Lonchura striata: one gene and its partners. The main gene of each other region encodes a partner of the protein of the gene in region 4 in a complex. Links are inferred from orthologs where the notes say so. Each region holds a gene or a part of one and is shown on either strand. Other genes may lie near its edges. The genes, in order: CETN3, NUP153, NUP188 and NUP160.

Evidence for each region.
Region 1: NUP160 (region 4) and CETN3 share a complex: the UniProt entries of both Homo sapiens proteins name them as parts of the nuclear pore complex. The link is inferred for Lonchura striata from reciprocal best matches to the Homo sapiens genes NUP160 and CETN3.
Region 2: NUP160 (region 4) and NUP153 share a complex: the UniProt entries of both Homo sapiens proteins name them as parts of the nuclear pore complex. The link is inferred for Lonchura striata from reciprocal best matches to the Homo sapiens genes NUP160 and NUP153.
Region 3: NUP160 (region 4) and NUP188 share a complex: the UniProt entries of both Homo sapiens proteins name them as parts of the nuclear pore complex. The link is inferred for Lonchura striata from reciprocal best matches to the Homo sapiens genes NUP160 and NUP188.

The regions. Positions count from the first base shown.
Region 1 is NC_134642.1:67,035,908-67,043,833, forward strand, and holds the start of CETN3 (centrin-3), read right to left. Parts: upstream 3,004-7,926; 5' UTR 2,892-3,003; coding exon 2,875-2,891; intron 808-2,874; coding exon 672-807; intron 1-671. UniProt on the Homo sapiens protein: Plays a fundamental role in microtubule-organizing center structure and function. As a component of the TREX-2 complex, involved in the export of mRNAs to the cytoplasm through the nuclear pores.
Region 2 is NC_134603.1:90,606,382-90,614,023, forward strand, and holds the start of NUP153 (nuclear pore complex protein Nup153), read right to left. Parts: upstream 3,007-7,642; 5' UTR 2,969-3,006; coding exon 2,870-2,968; intron 1-2,869. UniProt on the Homo sapiens protein: Component of the nuclear pore complex (NPC), a complex required for the trafficking across the nuclear envelope. Functions as a scaffolding element in the nuclear phase of the NPC essential for normal nucleocytoplasmic transport of proteins and mRNAs.
Region 3 is NC_134624.1:250,891-258,062, forward strand, and holds the start of NUP188 (nucleoporin NUP188), read right to left. Parts: upstream 3,002-7,172; 5' UTR 2,930-3,001; coding exon 2,904-2,929; intron 1,199-2,903; coding exon 1,144-1,198; intron 547-1,143; coding exon 473-546; intron 252-472; coding exon 167-251; intron 1-166. Other genes in the region: DOLK (dolichol kinase), read left to right, coding at 5,044-6,615. UniProt on the Homo sapiens protein: Component of the nuclear pore complex (NPC), a complex required for the trafficking across the nuclear envelope. Required for proper protein transport into the nucleus.
Region 4 is NC_134608.1:52,472,256-52,479,910, forward strand, and holds the start of NUP160 (nuclear pore complex protein Nup160), read right to left. Parts: upstream 3,003-7,655; 5' UTR 2,997-3,002; coding exon 2,794-2,996; intron 2,621-2,793; coding exon 2,410-2,620; intron 1,599-2,409; coding exon 1,376-1,598; intron 1,292-1,375; coding exon 1,213-1,291; intron 1-1,212. Other genes in the region: PLEKHG3 (pleckstrin homology domain-containing family G member 3), read left to right, coding at 7,060-7,335, 7,424-7,524, 7,623-7,655. UniProt on the Homo sapiens protein: Functions as a component of the nuclear pore complex (NPC). Involved in poly(A)+ RNA transport.

The DNA of each region.
Region 1 (7,926 bases), on a different chromosome or scaffold from region 4:
CTTGATGTCTTAATTAGAATAAAAATGCATAGATGATTTAAGGGAAGTTTAGTGAACTCCATCTACTACTCTGCAGACTTTCAGGTGGGAGACCTTACTTACATAGAAAGCTATTAGCAGATGGAGTTTAGGCTATCATTAGGAGCATCCTTATTTGAGAAGGGCAACAACTGAGCCTCCCTCAAAAAGCACACCTTATTCCTACAAATCATAGGCTTTCTTTTGAAAAATACAGGTAAGCTCTGGCTTGTAGTCAACAGTTTTACAAATTTGATTTACATATTTTACCTACACATCTGAAACCAACAGAAGGCTTTAAGTCATAAATCTTTAAAACTAATCAAACACAAGAGTTTTTTCCCTCTGTCCAAGCTTATCCCTGGACAGTTTTTCCATCTGTCCAAGCTTATCCCTGGTCAGCAATTATACCAGGGTTATTTACAATGCTATAGCAATTCTGTTACACATGAAGTAAATAATAAAGTGGGAAGAAAAGCTTATTCCTATACCAATAGAAATTTCCCATTCTTTCTTGTTTTTTCCTTCACTCCTTTAACCAAGCAAGACATCTTGAAGGAAGTTTTTAAAGATATAGCCAGCATCTTAAGTATTCACTATGGAACAGATATATTATCTGCTATAAAATTGCTTAAATGAAAGGAAACTTCTACCTTTAATTGATGGTAATTTATTGCTCTATCCTTGTCCGTATCAAACAATTCAAAGGTATCTTTAATTTCTTGCTTCTGTTCCTCAGTCAGTTCTCTTCTTTTCTTCTTTTTAGTTTTATCTACTGAGAGCTCATTCCTACATAAAGAAAATTAAATGTAGTGTAACAGATTTCTACTGGGAAGATGTCATTGTAAATAACCATTTCCACCAATAATAAACTCACCATAATTTTAGAAATCACTACCTTACCTAGTCAGTATTTTCCCAGCTTGTATTCCCAGTTTAAAATAACATTTGAAATAGACAATTATGTTGTGAAATCTGAATGATACCTCCAGTCTCCCACCCAAAATAAACCAGCACAGGCATTTTTGTTAATAAGCATCAACAACAACAAAAAACAGAGGATAGAAAAATTACCAGATAAAAAGGCTTTTTGAGGTTTCAAACTACATTAGCAGTTGAAATTATACAACTTTTGAAAACAGTTAATTTCTACACTGTAGCTTAAAAAATAAAATTAATTTAGGGACTGATATGCCAGTGGAAGCCAAACTAGGCCAAACAGTCTGGCTACTAAAAGCTAGCATTAGGTGCTACAAATCAACTTTGGCACCTGTAACAATTCTTAGATAAATAGTACTTGTAGGAATTTTTTTTTAATTCTTTAGACCACACACATACACACTGTTTTGAAGATTTTTTTTTGCTCTGTTTTGGTATATATGAAAGAGACAAGCCCTCCAAATCAGCAAATCTTGCTCAAAGACTGCCCCCTTTTCTTTGGCTAGTAGAAATAAGCTTATATTTTCAGAGGAGCATAGTAAAAGGAGGAGAGACAATAACTACAAAATTTAAGGGAAAGAACTGCAGCTGGTATAGAAACTACAGCTGGATCTAAGGGATAATATTTTCCCAGTGCATGTGGTGACATGCTAGAATAGTTCCACTGGGAATGAGTCTCCATCATCAAACATTTTTTTAACCTAATTATAAAATGTGCTTAGCATCCTCAGCCAGCTTTATGTAGAAGCTGCTGTGATCAGGAAGCTGGACTAGATGACTTCCATAAGTCTTTCCTAAATTATTGCATAGTTTATGTTATACTATCAGGAATAGGCTTTTTATGCTCATTTGTCCTTTTGCACCAGAGGCAGAATGAGTGCTGCTGCGTCACCTAGGGTAGACTGCATAAAGATTACTGTTCAATGAACAGAAAACTGCAAGATTAACTTTCCAAGTCTCCTCTAACAAGCTGTTTTATGCTCTTCTTTGTTAACAATTTGCTAATTTTAATCAAAACCTAAGACTAAACACTTATCTATACTTAGTTTTCAACAACCACTGAAGCAAAAACCCCAAATACACACAATAAAAGTGCAAGCTGCAGAAGCTGAGCTTCAAACCACAATACCCTCAACGAGTAAGATGTTCTTAACAGACCACTTGAGACAGTGTGATTTCACACAGGCTTTGGATTACTACAACTCTTGGAAGGCCTAAAATAACTCTGAGCTGGCTAGGTAATTAGGACCAAGAGAGTAAGTAGATCAGATCTAGGGAGCCCACATTTTGTGAGCTACAATGAAGAAATACATTTATAAATCTGAAAGCAGATTAACACCAAACTCTTCTGAAGGAGCAATCCAGGTACCTAAGTGTTCATTTAATGCTTAGCATAAAATAATTTATCAAAAGACAAAGCAGTACTCAAATACAAGTAGTTCAGTACCACTTCTGCAACTACTTTAACCATAGCAAGCATCAAGTTCTTAGATTTGAAAATTAATCGTAGCAGGTGCCATGTAAGCATATTAATTACACTTGAAGATAAAAATTTGCCAGGCACTGGGATTCATAAGCCAGGCTCCTTTACGCAATAGCTACTAAATCAGAATGCAGAAACAAAACAAAGCCAAGCAGTTTAACTTTATGCCTATTCACAGGCCTTTTGAAAGCACATCAGACAACCCAGAAGCGAACTTCCCAAGGCCAGACGCGCCGGACCCTTCTTTCTCCGGCCAGAAAGACGGGCCTGGTCCGGCCCGGCCCGCCGAAGGGATCAGATGGGACCGGCTGAAGGCCGGCGATGACCCAGGCCCCGCCACGGCCTCCCAAAGGGGGCAGCGTGGCCCTGAGGGACCCACACCGCGCTGCGGGCCCCGAGCGGGCAAGCAAGGGAAGCGCCGTGCTCGTACCGACCTGAGGGCCAGGCTCATGGTGCCGCTGCCGCAGCCGGGTCCGGCAAACGCGCCGGGTCCGGCAAACGCGCCCTGCCCTGCCCTGCCCTGCCCCGCCCCGCACTGCCCCGCACGGCCCCGCACGGCCCGGCCGCGTCCCAGCCCGGCCGCGCCGCTCTCCGGCCCTTAGCGACGCCGCTAGGCCACGCCCCTACCGAGTCCCCAACCTGATTGGCCGAGGGGCGATAAAGTCCCGCCTGCGAGCCCTGAGCGCGCTGCCATTGGCTGAGCTCCTGCCACTCAGCGCGGAGAGGGCGGGCCCCGCCGAGAGCGGGCGGTGGCTCCCGGCCGCGCCTCCGGCCGCCGCGCCGCGTCTGCCGCCGAGCGGGCGCCGCGGGAAAGTTTCCCTAAGGAAGGATTTCTCGATGTTTGATCTTGATTTTCAAGCCTAATCAACAAGGAAGGAGATTCAATCCTTGAAACAGATAGACGCTACTAAGCAAGGTTAAAATAATGTCCAGGGGTTAGAAAGACAAATCTTTAGTCCTAATTTCCTTGTTAAGGTCTAGGGCACGACGTGTTTCAATATCAAACAAACAATTCGGAATTTATAGACTCCAAGGACATTTGGCAGAACTCCCAAGATACGGAAGAAATTAATAAAGGCAACTCAGCAACTGTGTTGAATGAGCTCCAGTTCCAGCAGATCACTTACCAAGCTGCCCACCGACTCAAGAGAAGGACTGGGCATGTGACTAATTAGCATGAGAAATAAGAGAATTATTAACAACAGAATATAGAATAATAATTAATAAGAGAACGATGTAACCTGAAGCCAGTGAACATTAATGCATTTGTTTGCTAAAATGTGTATAAATACACAAAATACTAAAGAGTTTTGATAGTTGGTGTGCTTGACTCATGGAATACAATGCAGCACCCAGGCTTCTGCGACTCTAAAACAAATAATCCATGTCTCCCTCAAGTGTGTAATTACTGGCTTATTGCACACTGGGTTATAAATCTGATTTTTGTGGTCAGCACGTCTACTAGTCTTGCTGTAGAACGTCTGGTGTCTGTGTCAGAAGAACTCCCCATGCCCCCAGAGCCTGCTCGCTACTCTTCAGTCCAACTGTTGGAGGTGCAGTGGGCTGTGGAGATGGACACAAAAGTGGCATTTACAGAAGCATTTCTGGCACTTGTACAGATTTTGCCTTGCTAAAAATTTGATTGAAAGTGTGATAAATAGATGTGATTCGTGCTGAATAAGTTGTACTTAAACCAATAATTTGGAAAAATAATTGGAAAAGTGCATGTGATTAGTGTTATGAAGCGGACGGGTTTCTTCAAGAATACAAGTGGAAAGCAGGATGTAGGAGTTGGATTCGGCCTTGGGAATGGACAAAGTCAGGAAGACTCCCAAACCAAAACTGGCATCAAGATGGAATGAGACAACTCCCAGAGCAGGACCAACCTTGGAGATGAATAAAGTTGGGACAATTCCAGACAGGGAGTCTAAAATAGTGGTCTTATCTATGAGATAAATAAGGTTTAATTGGAAAATAGTGCTTACTTACATAACACCAAACTTAATGTGCATGTGCCACCTGCCAGGTTATCCAGAGGACAAGTAAGGAAGACCTTTGGCCTTCCTCCAAGACCACCAAAAAGCCCAGGAGATCCCATAGCAACAACAGGAGGATGCGCTGTGTAGTATTAGTGATGTAGATTTCAAGAATCAAAAATGGGAGGAGATTTACAGGAAATATTGATGAATATGTATTAGCATACAGTATAAAATTTCTGTTTGGATCATTTTGCCCTTTTTATGGATAGCAGGACAAGAAGCCTTCTCCATACCCTGATTGGTTTCACTTATGCTTTATCTGAACCATTGTCAAATTACTCTTTGTAAGCACTTCATTACATTTGATTGTAGTATTATTATTATTTTATACCCCAATTAAAAATTGCTGCTAAATTGCAATCTTGTGATTTATCAAATTGGACATATGAGACCCCATTCATAACAAAAGCAATATGTACTGTGTGGAGATTGGAAGACCTTATGTATAGTTCCAGTTATCATTGACACTAATATTACTGTGTCTTGCAAAACAGTCAGTGAATCACCATTACATATCTGTGTAGAGAAAATGCTCATATCACTGGTGAGAAAACTCAGATTTCTGCAAAGCGCTGCCTCAGTGCTCTGGTGTGTGACAAAGTAATTGTCACTGTGTCTTTCTTCATAAAAAAGGGCTGTTTCATAACTAGCTTTGACAACATAGTACAGTGTTACTAACTGGACCATTATGTTATTCAGATCCTATGTTATGCAGTCTGGCTAGACAGACTGAAAATTCTCAGGCAATGAAAAATTCCTTCAGGCGTTTCAGTCCTGACAGCTTGTCTTGGAGATGTTTTGCACCCGTGTTTCCGGTAATAAACTATTATGTACATGGAGTACACAGTGTTCAATATGTAGAGTTTGGCTTGCTCAATACACATTTTTCCTGAGCAAAGTCAAGAAGAGATGAAACCTATTTTGCTGTCTGTTCATATTATGCCTGGTCCACAGATCAAATAGGCAGAGGCAAGCGGTTTGTAATTGACCTCTGTTTACAGACAGTAGCTTTGCAACTAAAAGCATAAATTACTGGCAGGTTTGACCCTCAGCCTGTACTGTGGTGCAAATATAACCACAGATTAATTTTTTTTTTTTTTATGTTTCATAGAACACATTTACTTGTCCAGAGAGAAAAGGAAGCATTAACCAAATGGTGATTTAAGTGTGGGAAAGTAGCACAAGTAGCCCCCAGCTGCACCAAGAGCCCCAAATTGTTTCACCCCCATTCTCACCTCCTCTGCGTGTTGATCCTGGGTCTCAGCATAGGGTCTTGGATCTTGCCTGAGCTGCGCTGGGGTTATTCCCGTCTTGTACTGTGTGCTGCTCTTGCTGACATATTTACAGACTTTGTGGCCTGGCCATGACCTTGAGTCATGACCTTGCCATTGTCTGCAGTCGCTGGGCTGCTGACAGGTCAAGTTACTCTGCAGGGAGTTCATAATCCCTGCCAGTGTTGTGACTGTGCTTTGCTTCCAGGTTGTCCTCTCTCATGGTGCACCCGTGCCCTGGCTGCTCTTTGTCAAGCAGAGTGAGATACCTGATACTGATAGTCTGGGTGTGCTTCTGGGAACTGAAGATCCACATTCATGTCCCTACTTCTAAATTTATAAGCTAAAAAGTGGCTCCAGAAACCAAAGTGCCACTCTTCATTAAGTTAGCAGCAGTGCTCATACTGCATGTGAAATGGAGATGCACAGAATTCCAAAGAGAAAAGACAGGCTCAAGTAATAATAGGCTCAAGTAATAATAGGCTCAAGTAATAATAGCTAAAAATAAGTACATGGTTGTGGTAGTAGTGACTTGTAAATCCTTGCATTTTCAAAGTTGATTAAACCCGTCCTAAAATGACCACTTATGAATGCACTAGCATGTTTCTCACACAAACATATTCTCAGCTTAATAAGGAAAATAATTAATAATGAAATATACTTAAAGCATAGCATAACCAGAAAAAACATTACTAGCTTTTACTTAATTTTCAAACTCATTTATTGCTTTTTAAAAGTAATTTGTGGGGCTGTCTGCCAGGTCTGTCTTCCCTTTGAGTGAAGCTATATTCTTCTCTAATCCTAATTTTATTAGTATTAGGAAACTATCCTACCACTCTGTTGTCCTAAATTGAATCTGAGTATGCAAAGACTATAAACCTCATCCCAGCTGCTCAAAATCAGATCACATATCAGAATTGTAATTAAATTAATCCTGAATTTTTTAAAGGAGAAGATGGGTAAGATTTCATGCAAGTCAAAACAGTTCTGTTCATGTCACTCTTAGAACAAATAATATGTACAAATATAAAGTCAAATTAAAAACATACCAAGTATCATTGGCAGTTTGATGATTGTGAATGAACTTCTTTGTGCATCAGGGTCAAACTGCTGGGAAATACCTGGCACAATCACAGCAATGTTGACTAAGTTTCTGTGCCTTTTTCCATGTCAGGCCTCTTTTTGCTGCTTGTTTGCTTACTTTCCCAATTTTATTTTCTGTTGAATGCCTCATTGCCTCCCCAGGACCCTGTTGGGCATGTGTGGGAATACTCACAGTTAGCTCTAAAATAATTTTTTAATCAATAAGTTTTAAATTATTGTAAGACAGCTTGTCCAATAAAGTCTGAGTAGTTAGGAGTAACCATGCTGAAGATGAATGTTTTGCCTAGCAGCTCCCTCATGTAATAGTTAACGTCAAATAAATTTAAAATAGAACATAATGATGGTTTTTTTCATTGCTTCTCAATCATTTTTATACTTCCTAATTCAATTTGAAAGTGAAAGGAGTTTAGATGGACTAGCAGTATTTTGGATAATACACGGTTGAATTTTTAGAACCAAGAGATAGTGCTTACTGATTTAAGTTACATATGCATAAATAGGAACTTGGACCAGTGTTGGTTGAATGCTGAGACCTAGATTTTTAACATTAAATATTAATAAATCCTCCTTTTCCTCCACCTTTATCTCCCTCACACTCTCCATAACAGAGCTGCATTATTTTGTTTTTCTTTGGCTACAGATGACTACTCTTACAAGGCAAAGTGCATGTATAATGGGTAAACATTTTTAATGCAGTGTCTTTCTCAGAAGCATAAATAATTTTGCAAGCAACTTGTAAATATACTCCATCTAGAATGAAAAGTGCTTGTGTTGAGATATACCTAGAAATTATTACTTAACTGCATAGGGTTATAATTTTTATTATGACAATACATGAAAAAAATTTATTATGTGCAAACTGTTGTTTAATATCATAACAGCCTTGACAGATTACAGAACAAAACTTCCCATCTGATTTTTATGTCAACTCCCCAGTCTACTGAAAACTACATTAACACATATTTAGATGTAACAAAGAAATAAACACAGGTCTAAATGCTTACATGACACAGTATTTAAACTTACAATATATTTTAAAAATATTTAATCCAAGTAGTGTTAAAGGACCACT
Region 2 (7,642 bases), on a different chromosome or scaffold from region 4:
TCTACTCCAGGAACACCCACCAAAGAGATACAAAAAGGCTCTTTTTGTTCTGTGATTCCCCCACCTCAAATCTTCATGGTTAGTGGATACTGTCCTTACCTCATTGTGCTATTACTTTTTGTCTCTTGGTTTAATAATACAACCACTGACAGTGCATTTTTTATAAGGCAGGATGGTAGCCCAGAAAGGAAAATACTGTGGTTAAGTTCCTTCACTACTGGGGGAAATCTACTCATAGCTCCATCTTCCAAGAGAAAATAAAAGCTGCAAGTCACATCCTCCAAGCAGCATCTGTTCATCTCTCCTATCTGAGATTGATTCAAAAAAAACCTCCACAGTTTAAAAAAAACAAAAACACATGCAAATATAACGCAATATGGCTCTATCAGGCACCTGGGGAGAAAAGGGCAGGAAATTCTGCACTTTCCATGTTTATTCCAAGAATATATAAAACAAATAACTTCTGAAATCATGGATCACAGGCTGTATGTCTCCACTCTTGGAAGGTAACATCTTCTTATACATCCTCTTCCTGGCTCAATGAATCACACATTCTTTTTCTGGATAATAACACAGTTTCAGTCAGAAGAACTCAAAGACAGCATACAGCTTGGCAACTGGGATATTTGCCCAGAAAGTGGAAGATGTAGGTTGATGCCTCTAAGTAAAAAAAAAAAAAAAAAAAAAAAAAAAATCTAAAACAGGGTCTACCACATTTTGAACAAATGCTTTAGCTAATCATCTTTGAAAAGCAGCATCATCTCCTCTTCCAAATATCTTCTAAAGCCATTGCTGCACTTAATGGAAGACTGACTGCAACATGCTAGGGACCACTGGAGAATTCACATGTGACCAAGCTCCCTGGGAGACTATGGCAAAACAACAACATCAAGAAAGCATAACAACTTAAGAAAAACATACAACAGGCCTGTTATAAGCCTGGCATCATGCTACTACTCATCTATCATACAAGTGGAAAAGAATCAGATATCCTAAGAACTGTAAAGATTTTAGCAATATGGCATTCAGTGCTTAGGCACCTTCAGAGCTTGGTGATAAGAGACTGCAGTCTTGATCTAAAGCACTTAGAACAGTTCTAATACAGTACTTCTATGAGCTCCCTTATTGATAAGTTAGGGGAGCAGGAGATCATGTCCAGTCTGCACTGAGCACTTCTATGTCTTCTCAAACTCATTACTGAGAGACAACACCAAACCACAGAATACTTTCTGCAGAGTGGATGTTTTATTGAAAATAAAATTATCAATTAATTCCAGTTCAAGTCAGCTATCTACCCAGAGCTCATCTTTTTATGTAACGCAGGTTAGCAAGCTACATAGGGTTAAAAAGCCATAACTTATGACAAATGCACATCTGACACCTATCTGTTTGACTATTTACCATTTCTTCCCCAATATACTAGTTAATTTGATTGATGTATTCAACTTGCAGCATCCATGCTCTGGGCTGCATCTCACAGATATCCCCCCAGGCACATGTTTGCTTTGCCCCATTGTTTAAATAAACCTACTAGAAAACCCGCAGAGGTAACAGACAATAGAACAATCAGAAAATCATCTCACCTAATTATTTTTAATTCATCTGTTTTATTAGTTATCTACACAGTATCACCATGTGCAGCATATTGAAATTTCAACATTACTGTTGTTCACGTAAGAGCTTTCAACATTTGCTCAGCAAGTGCAGTGATTCTTTGGATGAAGAGTCACCCTGCCCACTTTACAAGGACAACACTGCTGATCAGTGTTATACAAAGGATTAAGAATCGTACTTCCCAAATAAGAACTAATTGAGCAACAATTTATGCATAACATGCCCTCAATTTTGCCTATAATATTTAATCTCCTGGCTTATATTACCGATTTAATAACGCTTGGTTTTACAGTCAATTTCAGGTTCACAAATACACGTGAAAGGCATTTCCAGAGCACCATCTCCAGGCATCTTGAAATTCTCTGACAAACAGGAGTTAGGAAGGATCTTTGCTTCTACTCTCTGCAGCCATTCTAAATGGCATAGGATCTTTGTAACACAATTTACAAACTGCTTTTTTTCTGTTATCCATCTATTCTGTCCCACAACACAAAGAAGAACAAATGCCTCATGAATTACATTGTGCTTGCACTGCACCACCACGTTTAGGGACAGGCAAGACACTAAAAAAAAAAACCTAAGGGTTCTGTAGGCAGCATCCTATTAAAAAAAAAAAAGAGAGAGAAAAAGAAACCACAATGGAAGAGATGCCCAACTACCCAGCACCCTCACAGCCTCATTCGCAACCTGGAATTTGTCAGGAAAAGCAAATATTAGAAACGATGCACTTAAATCTGAAGACTAACTCTAACTTGATAATCCAGTTAAGATCAATTAAATTAGGATTTAACCGGGCAGCCCAGAGACAAAACGAGCGAGCATCCCGTGGAGCGGGAGCCAGCCCGCTCCAACCGCGAGGAGCGGGAATGCGCACCTACGCCTGCCCAGCCGCCTCCTCCTCCTCCCGCCTTTGCTCCTGCCTAGCGGGGGACACGCAGAAGACAAAGGGGAGGCGAGAATCCCCCCGCAGCCCGGCGGCGCCGGAGCGGGGCGAGCGCCCGGAAATCCCACAATGCCCATGGTCCCGGCGGGAAACGCTTCCCTCCTGCCTCCCCACGGGCCGCTCCACCGGGAAACCCCGGCCCGAAGCCGCGCACGTGGGGCTGCGTGGAGAGCGGGGGGGAGGGCGGCGGAGCAAAGGGGCGGCTCTGCCGGGTCGGGCCTCCGGGGCGCCTCCTGCCGCCGCGGACGGGAGCGCCGGGGGAGAAGCGGGGTGGGAAGGGAAGGGGTTCACGGGGCTGACCCGCCGCCTCACCTGCTGCTTGCCCCTCGCGTAGGGCGGCTTGGCGGCTCCCAGGTGGTGCCGTCGGGTCCGGATCTTGCCGCCGCCGCCGCCGCCGCCACCCGAGGCCATGATGCGATCCGGCCCGCCGCCGCCGGCGGCCTCGTCCTCCTCGCCCAGGTGCGGCCGCTGCGCTCCGCCGCGGCCCGGCAGCGCTGCCGCTGTCACCGTCCCCGCGGGGACGCGCCCGGCCGGGCCTCGCTCCCCCCGCGCCGCTCCCGCCCGCCACGCGCCGCGCGCGGCCTCTGGTGCGTGCGCGGGGGGCTCCTCCGCGGCCTCCGCCCCGCCCCTACCCGCGCGCGCGCGCGCTCTCGCGCGCCTCTCCCTCCCGCGCGTCTCCCCTTTCCCCGCGTTCCCTCCCGATCCCTGCGCCCGCCGCTCCCAGCTCCGCTCTCCCGCCCGGCGGCGGCGCCCCGCGCGCTGTCCGCCCGCCCGCGGCCCGAGCCGCCGCCGCACCCCCCTGCCCTGCCGACCAACCACACGGCGGCCGCCCCGGGCCGCGCGCGCGTCACCAGCCCGCGCGGGCGCGTCACACAAGCGGCGCCGGACCGACGGCCCGGCCGCGCACGCGCACGCGCACCGCCCCCGCTGCGAGGGAAGCGGGAGGGGCCGGGCCGGGCCGGGCCGGCTGCGCGGGAAAAGCGCTCGCTGGGATCTGCCGCGACCGCCAAGGACGTGGCGGGGGACGTGCCTGCTCGCGGGCGCAGCACAGGGACGCCTTGAGGGGACACGAGCGGAGGTTCGTGCCGGGGTCCCGCCGCGGGTGACTCCGCCGCCACCTCCCCTCTTCCCGCAGCGTTTCACAGAATGACTCAGGTTGAAAAAGAGCACAGTGAGTCATCTGATCCAACCTTCCCGCTCAAGCAGTGTCGTCCCAAAGCACATGGCACAGGATTGCATCCAGACAGTTCCTGACTTTCTTCAGTGAAGGGAGACTGGCACCACCGAGCAGAGCCTGCCTCTGTCCTTCTGACGATCTGCCCCCAGGTACACAACTTACCCACGCGTGAGGGGGATGTTTCCCTTGTCCCTGACGAAGAACAGCATGGACAATGAAGCAGGAAAAACGGCACCAGGAAAAACGGCACCAGGAAAAACTGCACGGGGAAGCCCACAGTGCTCCCCCAGATTGCCACTAGCGATCGAGTTTGTGTAAGCAAGAGAAAACAGCAGGTGCAGGTTTTTCATCACTAAGTGGTGGCCTATGGAAAGGAGGTAGGGGAAAAGGCTTCGCCGTGGCTTTTACTTCCTCAAAATATGAGGAAGAGTGCATTCCTATTACAAAGTTTAAATACATAAAAATGTGGGATTTTTATCTTACTGAAAGTAAAGTTGAGAAAACACTATGGTTTCACTCTTTATTTTTAGCATCAACTTGCCGTGGGAAGGATGGAGCTGAGCAGTGCAAACCAGCACGCACCTGAAGAAAGGTTTTGGAAATTATGGGGAGCTCAAACAAGGGTGATTCTGAAGGCATACAGAAAGGTAAGCTGGCAGCAGCTGCAGAGGAACAGCTGTAAGAAATGGTACTAGGAAATTTTGTGTTGCCTCATCTCTGCTTCATACTGGTTTTTTTTGAACTTCACTGGGGTCCTCCTAGCTCTCTTACATGACTTGGCTCAATTTCTCTGTCCCATTTTCATTAACTATAGGAAATAACTATTATCCAATACCTAGCATAGTGGAATTATTTTCCAGATATTTCTCCTCATAAAACTACACTCTTACTCTCACAATTAAGAATACAGTTTTACATGCAGGGGGATGACCTGCAGTGATAGACGATCCCTATCCTGGAACATGCCTGTTTGAAGTCACCTGCAAGAACCACCTCATTTTGCGTAAACGGCTGATGTGCTACAGCTGCTGACTAATTTTAGGATGATGGTCTGCTTCTACAATGGGCATTTCTAGATCTACATCAGTATAATTATCAAAATAGGAAAAAAATAGTATTTTTGCCTGGATTTGCAATTCTTTTTGTCCAGGAACCAATTACCATGCTAGCTTTCAGCTTAAGAGAAGGGGAAGGAAGGCTAGCATAATGTGTTTCCATTATGGGAAGAGCGAGATTTACAGAGGGGATGGAAACTGCACGTTGGTAACATACATTCATTAGTAACAATGCTGGCTTCTAAAATGGTACCTGCGTGGGGAACTGACTAAAATCATTCTTGTGCTGGTCAGGTAGGAGCTGAACAAATTTAAAACGAGCTTCCCTCTTCATGTATGCTAAGAATATTAAGGTAAGCTGTAAACACGATTTTCTCTTCCATATACATGTCAAATGCAGCTACACTAGACATTTGCTCTATAAATTCAAGTGCTGCTTTATTTACTTATTTTACCTATTTAGAACAATTTCCATATGGTGACATACCTTTAAAGAAACTCATGACTCAGAAATACTTGTTGATGTAGTCAATGTCTATTGACATGAGTCACTGAAGTTAAATAAATGTCATTAAAATGAGACAAAACAAAAGGCATATATATATATATATATATATCTCCAGCAGAACGATAGTGATCATCACCATTTGATCAATCTTCCCTGTGAGTTATATCTGCAAGTTACTTTGAGGTAGTGCTAGAAAGAAGCTGTTGGTCCAAGAGCATCCCTGCAAAAAGAAACATTCACGGCTTAAGTACCATTTAACCTTTTTGAACACTTTTCAGTCTTCACTGGTTTTTAGCCTGTTTTTTCCTCCCTGTTCACTGACTACAGGATCATTAGCCCCTCAAACCATGGTACTAAAGCTTTTCTGTTCAGAATAGTAGAAAACAAAAACATTACTCTTCTTCAAGAATTAAGTGGGTTTTAGGTAAAGGCACTATCTATCACAGCTAGGTACAATGAAGAGTTTATAAAACCAATACTTGATATTCTTAAAAAAAACCCTTTCATCAGACTTAAAAAACTCCACAACTTTCCAGCTGGGCAAAACAGACAAAAAAAAGAAACAAAGTGAAATAGTGTAGTGTTGAAAACATTGGTCCCAATACTTTTTTTTAAATGTTTCTACTGCAATTAGCTCTTTGCAGAACTGAGAGCAGGCATCTGTATCATGGACATGTTCAGGTCTTTGTGTAGGCTTGCTAAGTGAGGCAGTAGCTGGACCAGTGCTTAAAGTTTCCCCAGTTAAAAGTCTCAGCAATGAATGCCAGCAGATCTGATGCATTCACTTTTTCCCTAATTCATGCTTACACCAATACCAAAGTTTTTTCGGTGTGCATTTACAGTAAAGAATATGCTGCACACAGTATCTTGATATGCACTCCTAACTGGTAAGCAGTATAGACTAGAAAGGCTCAGGAGACAGAAAACAAAATCAGAGAGCTATTTAAAACAGCCTCACACAGGCTGCAACCAGCAGACTTCCCTTCTTCAACTCACTTTTCTTCTGTGCTGACTAAAGAAAATACATTCCCCAACATTTCTCAGGTTTGCACAATTAATGGCTCAAACAACCTCCTTCACTACATTTCATAAGCAGTATTTTCACTATACAGGTACTTTACAGCCCAGAACAGAAGATGCATGTCTGAAAATAGTCTATAATGCAGAGTGTGGAGACCTTGCTAAGATGTAAACTCTGCATAAATATTGTGACTACAGACTCTGATGTTTATGTGCTGTGGTAATACAGTGCTGATTAAAGTGAAATCACACAACTACATGGGCTCCTTGTTATATAATTCACATATGGATCAAACTCCCAAAAGCTAACAAAAAAAAAAAAAAAAAAAAAAAATCAGTGGATACTCTATAGTATTTCTACCAAGCCAACATGCACCCTTACTATCTAATAACACAATGAAAGGTTTCCACAAATTACTTGCTACAGGTAAAGTATGATGTTAGGTAACGCTATGCAAAGCAGGATATGCACTTCAAAGCAGGACACTTCCAGGTCTGTGCCTGGGTTATAATCTTCCAGCTTGTGATGACAGTGCTTGTTGGATACAAAATCCTTTGCCTAGCAACTGGTTTGTACTACCAAGCTCAAGCACCCCAACTGTACACTGCAACTAAAGTGACAGCAAATCCAGCATGATTTTGAAAGTTTAACATCCTCACATCAAAATTCAAGGGGCCTGCATCTATTGAGTTTCCTCCCTTCTGCAGTCATATGAAACAATTCTATACAGACACACTGTTCTCTTTCCCATCCAAATTCTCTTTGCTTCATTTATTCCACTGTCACATTCCCATTATTAATCTCCCTACTGTGACCCTCCATAGACTAACCAGTTCACACCAGAGAAACATTTATGTACAAAATCCCAGTTTTCAGCCACTTGGCAACTAGTTCTCTCCAAAGCAGGGAAACATTCTAAGACTGTTATAGTTGTCTCCCTGCCTGAAAGAAGGGCTTTTGTTTTCTCTCTTTCTACACCTGCAATGCACAAAATTCAGGAAGAATGAAATTCCTATATCACACCAAAAGACCCTTCCAGTTTAGAGCATCTGTATTTCATGGGTGGGACTTAAAAAAAAAAAACCCAGCTGAAATCAAACTGTGAAAAGAGGAAGATTCTGGTGAGCAGGTAGAAGGGACCTGCCATGCCAAATCATCACTCTGCAATGCAGTACTAGTTTCACATTTAAGAACAGCATATGGGATATGACCACCACTTCAATGTAATTAAGTCATTAAAGAAAAAAAACCTGCCATCCTAGCAATTATGGTTTAGACTGCCCCTAAAACACACATCAGTACCAAAATGCCTCGAGTAGCTTTC
Region 3 (7,172 bases), on a different chromosome or scaffold from region 4:
GAAGTTTGACCTAGAGCCTCAGATGTACTTCAACATCCTTTAGATTACTTTGAACTGAAAGGACCTTAAGTGTCTCTCTATTCAACATCATGAAGTCATTCAGTATCAGAATCCTGTAACAATTCACTCCAGAGATAAAAAATAATCCAAGAGCAGCTTCACTCACCAAAAACTTGCTGACTCTCAGACCCAACTCTTTTAGTGGAGCGGCTACATCTTTATCAGCTTTAATTTTTTCTGCTGAAGTCGTACTAAAGTGAAAAGAAATTTTAGTCATTAAAAATACAGCAATCTCAAAGAAAAAATTAAATAGGCATAATTTTAAAGTTCTCCACTCTTATCAGTCTAAACTGAACATTTGCTTCTTCCTCAGTGACCTTTCAATATTTCATACAATATTCTGTAACCTTCCTTTACTTACTAGGAAACTCCACATTTGAGATTAATTTCTAAAATCAGGCAGTGACTGTACCTCGGTGGTTTGTAGTATGACAGTCCCTCTAACAGCCTCTGCCAGTGCTTGTTCAACTCTGCAGCAATCTGAGCCTAAAACAGAACCAAACACCACTGAACAGACTCCTCAAAGTGCATTACCAAATATTACACCTGTTAAACTTCAGCAAAGCAAAGAAATTCCACCAGCACAAAGAGGCAGGAAGAACACAAGACTGGTGTCTGTGGCTCAGAGTGATTCCAGATGCAGCACTGAACAGGCAGGGAGCTGCACTGCCTGTTCCTAGGGAGGGTGAGGAAAAGGGAGGCAATGGACTGGATTTACAAACATTTGGATTCTCAACCTCTGGCCGAATTCCTGAAAGCACAGGCTCCATCCCTCAATATAAGACAGCAGTTGTACCACACGTGAACACCCCAGGGCAAACCAGGCAGCAGCACTTGTGCCCACTCCAGAAAAGGAACCACCTTTTCCATACACCCTTCCAGGCAGTTCATGCAGCAGCTGTAAACCAGCAGTTTACAGAAGAATAAACAAGTAGCAGAGGTACAGGAACAAAAATCATGCTGAGAAAGAAGGAAAGGCAGCAGAAAATATTTTCACTAATATTCAAAGAGTGTACAAATGATGTGTTTGGCCATGGAGCCCAATAAGTGATGGCCAAACCTGCTCTGCAGGGAATAACTTACTGGTTCTCTTAAAGCTGATCTGCCCAGCAAAATTGTCCATAATTCTCTGCTGCTCCTGCAAACACAAGGAAAAGGTGGAGAGCATTTTAATGATGAATGTTATTCCAGGCTTCCATCTAGCTTACACTTTTCAAACCTGCAATTAACTTACAGTGAATGACACTGCGATGCAAGAAAAATTATTTAAGGCACATTAGCTTCCAGCTAATGAGTTTCAAATGTCCTAGAAAAACCAAGGAAAAACCCAGAGAGGTGACAACTGACACAGCAAGACCTGTGAATTCACATCAAAACTTCACATTGATATCAGATTACCAGCTCAATTTGATTTTTTTACTTTAATTTGATTTAAAGCTCCTAAGAAGAAAATAGAAGCATAAAGCAGTATTCTACTATTACATTTAATGCTCTCCTTCAAACAAATTTTTCCAGCAGTTTCATCCTCCAGTCTAGGCAGAGCATAAAACTGTATGAAGTGAAAAACTCCACCATCTTCGCACAGACACCAGAACATTTACACTCAGCTTGTCATTTCTTCATGAGAACTCTGTAGAAAAGCCAACCTGCATTATAAAAATTACAGATCACACCCTGACCCTGGCACATGCATTCTAAAAGAAGTCTCCCTACAACAGCACAGAGAAAAGATATTTGCCAGAAACAGTATTTCACTTAGACAAACAATGATTTGCTAACAACACATTACAAATGAGGATTTAAACACCCCAACTCCTCACACAAAGACTGTCTACACAAGAACACTCATTGCCTTATTTTTAGAATAACATTATTAAAATAACTCACTGTGGCAGTGAAAGTCATCTGCAACTTCTGCCATGTGGTGACACTTAATGAATGACACCACCTGTTATTTCCAGCACACCCATCAGCATCATTCCTCCCTGCTCATTCCTCGATAGCTGGGTGCACTTCTCTGCCATGAGCCTCTCCAGCCCACGCAGAGCACCCAAAGACCCAGGTATTTACCAAGAACTGAACAGCAATGTGAAAGAGGCAATTCAATGAATCCCAGGTCCAGTGATCATGTCAGATCAGTGCCTTCATTTGCCTTGCACACATTTTTTTACTTATTGTCAGCTCTGAGCCCCAGCCTAGCAACGCCAACCCACCTACTTTTCACTCCTTCACAATCTCCTGTGAATAAAACAGACCGTGGTTTGTTGTCCCCTCATTAATAAGGCTCCAAGACAGCTAAGGGAGGAAAGCTCTCTGTATACGACCACAACGAACAGCGGTATCATTAATTTAATAAAAATTAGACACTAGGGAAACTCCAGAACATAAAAGCGTTATAATAAATGACAAAAAACGTGCTCTGGAGAAACGAAACCACTGAACTAAGATGATCACTGAACTCGGGATTGATTAAATCACTTCCATCACTCATTTCCACGCGTTTACTTTGACTTGCACGGGAGCGGCGCGGGAGGCGCAGCCGGTCCCGGTAGGGAAGGGCCGGGCCGGGCCGGGCCGAGCCGAGCCCCGCCACAAAAGCGCCGCAGCCGCGGCTCGCTCCGGCGCCCGAGCCGGGGCTCACTGAGGGTCCCTCAGCCGGGCGGGGGCGGGGCCAGCCCGGCGCGCGCCCCGCCGCGGTTAAAACCTCCCGGCCCCGCGCTGCGCCTCCTCCCCACAGCCCTGCCCGGCCCCCGGTGCCGCGGAGCGCGGCCCGCCCGCAGCGACAGCCGGGGCCTCCCAGGCCGCCCCCGCGCTCCCTCCGCCCGAGCGGCCCCGGCCCGCACCTCGCGCTCAGCCCGCCCGCCGCCATCTTCGCTCCGCTGTCACGTGACCCAGGGCTGCCGCCCTCCGCCGCGCCGGTGTCACGTGGTGCTGCACAAGCCACGCCCCCGCGCGTGGGTCATGTGACTGGCGGCGCGGCAAGATGGCGGCGCCCTGCGAGGTGGGTGCGGGCTGGGCTCCCCGGGGCGGTCGGGCCGGAGCACAAGATCCGCGCTGGAATCGGGAACCACCCGGGAGCGCCTCCGGCATCGCCCGCGGGCGGATGCCGTTCCCAGTAGCGGAGGCTGGGATGTGGGTGTCGCGGTTGAGGGGGACAGGAGGCGGCGGCGAGCAGGTGCGGGCAGCCCGCGGGTTGAGGGGCGTCCACAACGCTGCGGGGTCGTGGGGAAGAGAGGGAGCAATCAGGGGCTGCAGCCCGGATGTTTGGCAGCACGTCAGTGGGAAGCTTCCCCGCCCTGAGCAGCCGGCATGCGGAGCAGGAGACGGGCAGAAAACGCTGGGTCCGGCTCGATCCGCAGGGCGGTGGGTCCCGTTCGATGATGAGAGCGGCAGTGCCGAGGAGCTTCACAGTACCTGAAAGAAGGTGCGGAGGAGGGGATTGCGGCAGGCACAAGAAAACGAAATAACTCATTAGTGAAATATAGACTGTCAGGTCTAAGCATTCAGAGCCGCTCCATCAGAGACCTCAGGCAGGGTGAATTTCTACCTACTCTTGCAGCCCGGCGGGGAAGCTGTAATGCCATCGATACGGGAGCTGGGGTGCAACCTTAAGGTTGCCAGACTGAGTAGGAGGACTCTGTCTTTGGCTGGCAGGTGGCATTTACTCTGCTTCTTCTCAAATAAGCCTTAGGCTTCCCCCTCCCCAGTGCTCAGAAACAGCAGGGAGTACAACCCAAAAACTGTTATTGGTTGGAGGTAGATATTGCCCAGACCAGTTCTGGTTTATTGACTGTATGATTAATTCTTCTCCTGTTTAAAAATTAATTGCAATGACAAGAAATGACATTTGGCCTGAAGGAGCTGTGTAGCAACAGTGCATGTAATGAAGGTGTTTGGCAATCAAGTATTTCAGGCTATATGAATAAGGATGCCAAAAAGCAATCCATCAGTAAGTTTTCAGTACAAGGTTATAAATATCTAAACACTGCAGACACGCTAAGAAAGTTTTACAGTACAAACTGTAATAATTTCTCAGTAATATTGCTATTACTTTGTCAGCTTTGTAATCTAGTGTCACCATTCAACACTGGCTGAAAACCCAAAAGAGAACCTTAAATAAACTTCTGGTCTTCCATGAGGGAGCTGATGTAGATACTGGCATTGAGACTGGGGGAGCAGAATTTAGTAAGACTTTGCTGCTAATCAGCTTAAGGGTGGTCCAGAAGGGATAAAGTAAGCCCTTTTCACAGCTGGATCAACCATAATATTTCCAATAGACATAAAGAACAGGAGAACTTCAAAGACCCCAGAAGAGAGGCCAGTGTAATGGTAGAGGTTTACATATGGCCCATTATCAAATGATGTATCCATAGAGAAATCAGGGTCACCAGAAAGCAATAAATGCTGGTGAGAATTGCACAATGATGTCAATGCCCACAATTCTTTGAAGGAGATAAGATTTAACCTAACAGAGTAAATGTGGCTGTTGCTGAATATTTTAACTGCTTACCCTCCAGTCCAGACGTTTAAAGCAAAGCTTGGTTTGCAGTGCAGCTGTCAGTGTTGTCAATGCCCACAATTCTTTGAGGGAGATAAGATGAGATTTAACCTAAGAGAGTAAATGTGCCTGTGGCTGATTATCTTAACTGCTTACCCTCCAGTCCAAACGTTTAAAGCAAAGCTTGGTTTGCAGCTGTCAGTGAGCTGTGAGCCTTCACTTAGAGAAGATGAACTGCAGGATTTACTCACCTCACTTTTTTTTTAATTCATCTGTGTGTTGACTTTAGCAATTAGCACTTAACTATGAGTTTGAGTTTAAGAACCAAATAGCTGTGCAAACACTTCAGCTGTCCAAGTAGTTGCTTTAATTGCTTGCTTTTTTTTTTTTTTAATAGCAATTGCAGTAGCATGGAAGGGAATTCTTCCTAACAGGCAGCTGAGACTGGTGAAGTTGTGCAGGCCTGAGCAGGCTGGGCTGGAGTCATGTCGAACAGGGCAGTGCTGGTGGAGTCGCTGCTGGTGTTCACCGCGGTGCTGGCGGTGCACGCGGTGGTGTGGGACCGCTTCTCCTGGTGCGCCGTGGCTTTGGCCGTCCAGGCCTTCTACGCCCAGTTCAAATGGGACTGGCTGCTGCAGCAGGGCGGGGCTGTCTTCCAGTTCCGGGGTGCAGCCAACAGCGGCCTCCTGCCTGCCAGCATGGTCATCCCCCTGCTGGGGGTGGTGATGAAGGAGAGGTGCAGGGCTGCCGGCATCGTCTACTTCGAGCGCTTTGGCATCGTGGTGGCTTCCACGGGAATGCTGCTCGCTCTCTTCCTGTCCGTCTTGGCGGTTGGCATCACCAAACCTGTGCCAACCAACACTTGCATCCTGACTGGTGTTGCTGGCAGCGTAATTATCTACACCATGAAACATTCCTTGACTGTCTCCGAAGTGATAGAGGTTCTGGAAGTGCTGCTCATTTTCGTCTACCTCAGTATGATCTTGCTGTACTTGTTGCCTCGATGTTTTACTCCCGGGGAAGCGCTGCTGGTTCTCGGAGGTATAAGTTTTGTTCTCAACCAGCTCATTAAACGCTCACTGAATGTAATCGAGGGCAGAGGGGATCCCACTGACTTCTTCCTTCTGGTAGCAGTTGTTGGAGTTGTTCTTCTTGGTCTTTTTTTCACCGTGCTCTTCATTTTCATGGATTCAGGCACATGGATCTCCTCCATGTTTTTCCACATGATGACAGCAGTGTTAGGCTTAGGGGTCATCATGCCGTGGCTGTACCGACTGATCCAGAGGAACCCTTTGTTCTGGCTGCTCCAGTTTCTGTTTCAGACACAGACAAGACTTTACCTCCTTGTGTATTGGACTTTCTTGGCTGCCTTAGCATGTGGGGTGGTTTTCTACCAGAATGCTAAGAGATCATCTGAATCTAAAAAACACCAGGCCTCGACTATAACCAGGAAATATTTCCACTTCATTGTTGTAGCTACTTATGTTCCTGGACTAATTTATGACCGCCAGCTCCTCTACGTTGCTGCAGTGCTGTGTCTGGCAGTGTTTATCTTCTTAGAGTACATCCGGTACTTCAGGATCAAACCTTTTGGACAAACCCTGAGGCATTTGCTCTCTCTCTTCTTGGATGAAAGAGACAGTGGACCTCTCATCTTGACTCATATTTATCTCCTCCTCGGCATGTCCCTCCCAGTGTGGTTGTTTCCCAGATCATGTGCTCCTAAAGGCACCTTGTCTGGGGCAGGAGCACTGGTGCCCTACTCTGGGGTGTTGGCAGTAGGGGTAGGAGACACCATTGCCTCTGTTTTTGGCAGTACAATGGGGGAAATCAAATGGCCAGGAACAAAGAAGACCTTTGAAGGGACAATGACAGCTATTTTTGCTCAGATCATTGCTGTGGCTCTCATTCTGATCTTTGACAGCAGTGTGAATCTGAACTCTAGCTATGCCTGGATTCTGGCATCTGTGAGTTTGGTTTCTCTTTTGGAAGCTTACACTACTCAAATTGATAATCTGCTGTTGCCTCTCTACCTCCAGATCATGCTCATGGCATAGAAGCACTTCCAGGAACAGTTTTCTCCCTTCCTAGAGAAAGGTACTAGAAAATGCACTTTAATGAAAGCTCAAAGGTGATGTTTTGGTACAGCAGAGAAAGCTGTTGAGAACAGAAATGAGAAAGACTATTTTAAAACAGGTTTTGATTTGGTCTTGTTCTTACTCCTGTCGAAAATAGACGGATTTATGTTCTAACAGCAACAAACACAACCGATAAAAGCAGCACTTGTGTTTAATAATGCAATTTAAGTTTCTTCTGGGTGCACAAGGGAAGCAGAGGAAGAAGAGGTAAGTCAATTAGAGGGGAAAAAATAAACAAGCAAGTCTCTCAGATGTTGCTACCTCTGTACTGTACCTTGTTTTCTGTACTGAGTCTTGTCTTGTGTTTGATGTGTGAACTCTCATGTCTGTATAAGCACGATGTAAAGCATGTTTGATAATTGGGGGGGGCACAGGAACCAGGTACAAGTGTCCAGCTATGTCCAGTCCTCATCAGCAAGAGCCAAAACCACACCACGATACACAAACACAAATCCAAAATCAGTAGCTGCCACAGC
Region 4 (7,655 bases):
AGAGGTTACATCAACACCTCCACAGAAAATTCTCCATCCCTGGAAGCATCCAAACTCAGCCTGGACACTGGTCTAGTGGAAGGTGTCCCTGCCCTAGGTAGGGGGTGGGACTGGATGAGCTTTATTTAAGGTCCCTTCCAACACAAACTGTTACAGGATTTTATAATTCTAAAATCATGGCAGGTGCACAGATCCAAGGCAGTGGGGTTCCACCACTGTGCTTAAATCCAAATAAACTGGTAGGTGAGATTAGGAGAAGGGAACGTTTCAGCATCCCCAGAGCAGAAGATCCCACCACACCAGTGACATCCAGCTCTTCACTTGCTTTAGTGGAACTGAAGCACATTCCCACTTCCCCATCCCCAGGTACTTCCAAAACACAGGTGAATGATCTAGAGGGAAAAAAGGATCCAAGCAGCCCCTGGCATGGATCCTGCCAGCCCCTGACAAGGATGCAAGAAGACATGAGCAAGGATCCTGACAGCCTAATGCCTTAACTTTCCTTTTTTCCAGATTCTGTACTGCAATAGTATGTAACTCTGAACTTCATATGAAGTGTTAGCAAGTTCTTTTCACAGTTTAGTTAGACAAAACCATATTTTTCCAGCCCAAGAACCAAGGACACCATTGCAGCTTCAGGCCCCAAAAGTAAACAATAAACAGTAAATAAGTAAACCTGAAACAGCAGCAAATTGAGGAGAGCAATGTGGCAGGATGGATCCTGCCAGGATCCTGCCAGCCCCTGGGCAACACACCCACAATGGTCAAAGTCACTCAGGGCATCAAGGGACTCACTCCCACTTCCAAGAAAAAGGCTCTAGGATTCAGCTGTGCACTCTAAACCACTCTAACAAGCCCATCCCACCACGGAGCATCCATGTGATCCCCACATAACCTCTGCTGGTCAGGAACGCGCCTGGCTCCTCAGCACCAGGGCAGAGTAATCCCTAATCCATGCTGGCTGCGAGCCACATCCTGGGCAAATCCCTGGAGGCCAATTACTAGAGAAACATATTCATAGACACATGGAACAGCAGGACCCTGCTAATCCAGCATTCCACCCCCAACTTCCGTACACTGATAGCTCCTGTGACCCCGTTAATTTTTTCGGGTGGAGTATTTATAGGTGCATGTGTGACTCAAGCTAAAAATTCCAGGTGAGGGGATCCAAAAGCCAAAATTAGCTCTGTTTATCTCTCTCCAGGCACTCACCTGATGGCAGTTGGCATCCAGCCTGTGAGGAAACGCTGCACCACCGAGCTCTGCTTCAACTCCACGACAGAAACACTCCCTTCAAAAAACAAAAGGAAAATCAAAAAGTGAAGATTAAATGAAATTCCAAGATGGGAGAGGGGGTGTAGTGCCCAATCCTTACCAGGAGCATCAGGAGGAGGCAGCTTAAGGACAAAGATCCCTCCTGAGGCGGAGGGAAGGGCGAAGAGAGCCTCTCCCTCGCTGCTCAGCCAGGCTGCAGAGGCCACGGAGTTGGGAGCCAGCCCCGGCACGCTGGGAATCACGTAGTAATTGGAGGGATCCCTGATGTGGATTTTGCTGATATCTGTAAACACAGACTGAACTTGGCTCTCCGTTATCAGCTCCTGTGGGGAAACAGGAGAAAACAGCCTCAAGTTGTGCCTGGGGAGATTTAGGTTAGATATCAGGGAAAATTCCTTCATGGAAGGGATTATCAGGCACTGGAACAGGCTCCAGTAGTGGAGTTCACATCCTGTGTGGATGTGCTGCTTGGGGACATGGGTGGCCTTGGCAGTGCTGGACTCCATGATCCTAGAGGATTCCATAAAACATCAAATCCTGAGCACATATATCTAAGGCACAGGGAAAAAAAAACATCAGACATCGATGGAATGGAAACTGTCTCCTTGATCAAAATGATTTTTCCAGTAAAAAATCTCTGGCATAGCTCAGAGAAAACCACTGGTCACAAATCCCAGGAAGAGCAGCTCTGCCACAGCACAGGGTCATCCCTTGGGATAGCTCTCCAGAGCTTTCTTAGAGAGAGAAGCTCTCCAAGAGAGGAGAAGATCCTGGTAAGAAGCAGGCACAAATGGAAAAGTCAGAAATGGGGAGAATCACAGAATCCTGCAATGGTTTCAGACAGAGAAAAACTTAAAAACCATCCAGTTCCAACCCACATCCATGGGAAGATGGTAAATGTGATATAAACCCTACCTAGGATCCATGAAATACAGATTCCAATCCAGACAAAACCAGCCTGCAGCTCCAGAGTCACCACATGACGCAGGCGGAACACCAAGACAGTTCTAAATTCCCCAAACCTCCACTTTTCCTCTTGTTCCCGCTGTATTTTGGGTCACCCACCCCCTCCCCAGCCCTCCCTGTGGAGTCGGGGTCGCCTGCGCCGGCCCCGGCGGCGTTCCCGGCACTCACGCTGCGGTAGAGGCGGGCGGGGTGCGGGAGCAGCAGCCGGTGCACCGTCTGCGCCGTGAGCAGCAGCACCACCAGGTGACTCTGCACCTCGCACAGGTGGATCCCGCCCGGCAGGAACGGGCAGCCCTGGATCCGCAGCCGCACAGCGTTGTTCAGCAGGTTCACGTCCAGGGACTCCTCCACCAGCTCCACCGTGTCCCCCGACGTGCTCCTGCGGAAACAGAGGGGCAGAGCTGAGCATGGGGAGGGTCCGAGAGGGGAGAGAAAGGCAGAGACGAGGATGAGGAGGGTCTGAGGGACAGGAGGGTCTCACAAGGGTGAGAAGGGAGAGGTGTGGATGAGGAGGGTCTGAGCGAGGCAAGGCGGACGGGGGCGTGCACTCACCATCGCACCCAGCGATTCCTGGTGGCGGCCCCGAGCTGCGCGCTCTCCTGGTAGCAGAAGCCGCCGGCACTGTCGCCGTAGCGCCCGGCGGGGAGCGGGGCGATGCCGGGGGGCACGAAGAGCAGCTCCTGCGGGGGTCGCGGCGGGGCCCGGCCGGCCGCGCTCAGCTCCAGGCAGCTCCGCGCCGCCAGAGCCGCCGCCATCTTGGGCCGCCGCCTTCCCGCCTCGGCCGCGCGGGGCACGACGGGAAGGGGAGGGAGCGGGCGCCCCCTGGCGGGCGGGAGGACGGGGGCAAGAGGGAGAGGAAGGGGGGAGAGGGGAGGGCTGAGGCGGGACGGTGGGGAAAGGGTCTGGGGAGGGGAATCTGGCATGGAGATGTGGGAAGGGGACTCTGGGGAGAAGGCTACAGGGAGAGTGGATTTTGCGAGAAGGTAAAGGGGGATTTGGGGAAGGGGTTTGAGGAGGATCTATGAAATTTGGGGCAGGACACTGGGGAACAGGAGAGGAGGTCTGGTTTAGTGGGGGCATGTGTCCTCAGCAGCACCCACCCTGCCAGCTCCCGACACCCACCTGTGCCCACACCTCATCCCGGCGAAGCAGCCACAGCCGCCTTCCCGGACATGTCCAGCACACCCAACCCAGCCACTGGCAGAGCCCATATTCCCATACTGGTGAGGGCAGTGGGGACCCCATCATCCCATGGATGCCACACATCCCCCCGCAATACCACACAGTGGCAGCGCCAGCACTGGGCCTGGCCAGGCTCCCGCTCCGCTCGGAACAATCCAGCCTTTGAGCGGATCCAGTGCTGGCGCACGAGGCGCTGCCTGTAGAATGGGCCCATTCTGGTGGCAGGTGCCGTGAGGGGCCGGGGGCTCCAGCTGGCTCCCAGCTTTTCTAGGGGGGTTGAAGCCCCCCATGTTGGTGTGGAGAGCTGGCACACAGTTGGATTTGGGGGCTCAAGTGTCACGGTAGAGCCAGGGCCATGCACCAGTCATGGATGGGCTGAGGCGGGATGGAGGAGCGCTGGGAGCAGGCCCCACCCGCGGGCATCCATCCTGCCGTGGCACGGAGGGGTGCCCTGCATCCACCCCGTGGCTGGTGGCAATGGGTGTCTGTGTCCCTGTCTGCATCCCCTCGGGCAGGAATAGTGGGTGCCCATGGCTGGGGCTGGGACCCCTTCGGGTGCTCCTGTCCCCTGGGAAGGGACCCCACGGGTGACCCGGTGGCTGCGGGCTCCCATCCACCATGCTCAGTGCACCCCAGGACAGGATCAGGACTGTCCCAGGACCATCTCGGGACTGTGCCTGCACAGTACCGGGACTACGCCAGAAGCACGCCTAGTTCTGTACCGGAACAGTACTGGGATCATGCCAGGACCGTGCCGGGACAGTACCTGAACCATCTCTGGACCGGACCGTACCAGGACAGTACCTGGACTGTGCCGGGATCGTGTCAGGACAGTACCAAGACTGTACCGGAACCATGCCTGGACCAGACCGGGACCGGGACAGTACCGGACCGTGCCCCGCGGTCACGCCCGGGCTCGCTGCGATAACTGTCCCGCTCCCATTCCCGGGAGTCCCCATTCCCGTTCCCGGGGCCGGGCGGGGCGGCCGCTGTCCCCGCCCCGGGGCGCTCCCGCCGCTTCCTGCGGGCACGGCCGGGACGGGGCGGGACGGGACGGGTCGGGGCGGCGGCGGTAGCGGAGAGCGGTGAGTCCGGTCCGGGCGGGAGCGGGGCACGGCCGTGGGGTCCGCGGGAGGGGAGCCCTCGGTCCTCCCCGGAGGAGGCGGTCCCGAGGGTCCCTGCCAGAGGGGGTCTCCCGGTGGGGCAGGATCCGGGGGTCCCGGTGCTGTTGCATCCCGGTGAAGCGGGAGCCGAGGAGCCCGGTGGAATGGGAGTCGTTGCATCCCAGTGGAATGGGATTCCTGGGTTCCGGTGGGGCGGGAGCCGTTGCATTCCCGCGCGGCAGGATTTGTGGGTCCCGGTGGAGCAGGATCCGTGGGTCCTGGTGGGGCAGGAGCCGTTGCATCCCGGTGGAGCAGGATCCACGGGCCCCGGTTAGGCAGGATTCGTGAGTCCAGGGATGCCCGGAGTGAGGCAGGAGCTGGGGGTCCCCACCAAGTGGGAGTTGGGGATACTGGGGCACGGGACAGCAGGACCTTGGGGTGCTGGCAGACCCCCGGGACAGGCACCTAAAGAAATGTGGGATGTCCTCAAGCCTAGCCTGGGGTGCAGGACAGGCTGTGGCATGCGGGGTGACCCTGGACAGGGGTCCTAGTGGGAGGTGGGGGTGTCCTGCGCCCCTCCATCGGGATTAGGCGGCGCGACGCCATGGGCGCCGGGCACTAAGAGGCTTAGTCAGCCCCGCGGGTCGGTGCCGCCTTGTCCCGGGAATGCCGTGACACGGGGTCCCCCGTGGTGCCGAGCCCCCCGAGTCGCCGCGGGCGGGAACGCCGGCGCCCAGCCCGTGCCCGCCGAGCAGCGGCGGTGCCAGCCGGGGCCGGGAGCGACGGCGGCGGCAGCTGCGCCCGAGCCGGCGGCGACCTCCCCGCTCCCAAGGCCGCTGGGATTCTGGAAAATGCCTGGAAATGGTGAACCGCCTGCCCTTATATGGCTCCGGCGGGCTGGCGCGCCGCGGCCCCTCTCCCGGCGTGCCGTGCCGTGCCGGGATCCTGGGAAAACGCCGTGGGCTGTGCCTCGCGCCCCAACTCCCGCGCTGGAATGTGCAACGGGGCCGGTGATCCCACGGTGGAGAGGAAATCCCACCTCCCTCCCGCCGGCCCGGCAGCACATACTCGGCGCCTGCCTCAGTTTCCCCCAGCGGGGAGTTTTGGGGACCCACCGGAGCCCCGCGTTCGGCACTCCAGGGCGATCGCCCGTTCTCTGTGGCGGAGATGGGGAGGGTCGGGGGCGTGAAGGTCACAGCTAATCCCGCCCGGAGCAGGCGGGAGCGGGAGGGATGTGGGCGGCCGCGTGCCCACCGAGCTGATACCGGGGGGTAAGAGGATCAACCCCCCCCCCCGATCACCGGGGCGGGATGACGGTGACCGACGGGCCCAGGAGAGTGGCCGCGGTCCCGGTGACGTGGGACCGGAGCCGTAATCCCGGTGCTGTGAGCGGATTAGGATGGCCAGGGTTGGCTTTCGGGGACGAGCTGCGGTAGCCACAAATTCCCGCCCGGATGTTAATTGGGGGAGGTCCTGTCTGGTCCCTCCGTGCCACCTGGGGGTCTTTTGTCCCCCCGGCAGGGTGGGATAGGGGTCTGACACTGCCGGAAGGGATGCTTGGGGTCTACTCTCTCTAGTGTCATCGCCTGGGTGCCCCCGCTCCCTCCCCCGAGGTCGAGGTGACCCTGTGACCGGGTGCCCCATGCCTGTAAAAGTGAGGAATTTGGGGGCTAGGGGAGCTGCTCCCAAATCGCCCAGATCTGGGGTGCCCAGGAGGTGCCTCATGCCACGGTTGGATGTACCAGCACCCGGGGTCCCGGCTGTGGCACCGCTGGGGACATGGGTCCGAACCCCACTTAGGAGGCACCGCGGTGGCGTTTTGGGGGGCTCCTGGCGTGCTCGGGGAAGCCCCGGGGAGGGCGGTGGCTGGATGGCGGCCACGCGGCACGGTGGGTGTGGGGAAGCGGCGGCGGGAACCGGCCTGACCGGTTGGGTGCCGGCACCGGGGGTGCCGGGGGGCTCGGGCGGTCACGCCGCCGGCGCAGCACGTGGCCCAGCTCAAGGTCGCTGTCCCCAGGGCCACCCGCCGCGGTGACCGGGCTCAGTGGCCTCGACACTCCCACACGCTTTGCCAGTGGCCGCTGTTTTCTGGCTGTCCCAACCGTGTTTGTGGCACTGAGCGGTTTCGGTGGCACGGGAGGATCCCGGTAGCACCGGTGGTCCGGAAGGGCGAGCCGGCGCTGAGCTCACCTGGAAGGTGTCCCGCGGGCGCGGCGGTGACGCACGGCCCCGGTGGGTGGGGGCAGAGGCACTCGTCCCACCCGGTCCCAGCGCGGTCCCCGGGTTTGGGATGAGGAAGAGCTGGACTCCCAGATCGCAGCATTGGTGGGCTGTGCAGAGACTCCGTTGTGCTGTACCCAAAGATTTTTGGGGCTGGGGGATGCTAGCACCCCTTGGCATAGAGGGTTTGGCCGCCAGGGTGAACTCCCTTGGTGCCACACGCCACCCATATCTGGGGGCTCTCCACACCCCCTAACCCACCATTCTCCCCCCAGAGCCACCCTGTGCCCCACTGGTGCCAGGGGATGCCGGGATGCCGGTGCCTGCGTGTCCGCAGCGCCCTGCCCTGAGCCCAGAACCCGGCTGTGCCATGGAGGACCCGCCCAGCACCAGGACCGAGGCGTGGGCCGAGGGGCTCCATAATGCCAACAACAACGCATCCCCGGGGGGGTGGCCGGGTGCCCGCAGTGGGCACCCCCTGGCAGCTTTCGGGGGTCCCGGGGCCAAGCCCAGCTACCTGGACCGTGTGGTGCAGGAGATCGTGGAGTCAGAGCGCACCTACGCCCGTGACCTGCGCAGCATCGTGGAGGTGGGTGCCAGGGGGCACAGGGGGGTACGCCCCTCAGACATGGTGTGGGGTCTAGGGGTGCAATGGTGCTGCCATGGGTGCCTGGCAGGGTTACCTGGGCAAGATCATCGATGCGGAGGAGCCAGTGCTGCGACCGGAGCAGGTCAGCGCGCTCTTCGGGAACATCGAGGACATCTACGAGCTCAGCAGGTGGGGGAGCAGGTGCCACTGGGAGGTGACAGGGGTGCGACCCTGTCCCGCGGGTGTGTGAGGGGCTGTGGTCACCCTGTCCTCTCTGTGCCCCCCAGCACCCTCCTGCAAAACCTGGAGAGCTGCGCCAA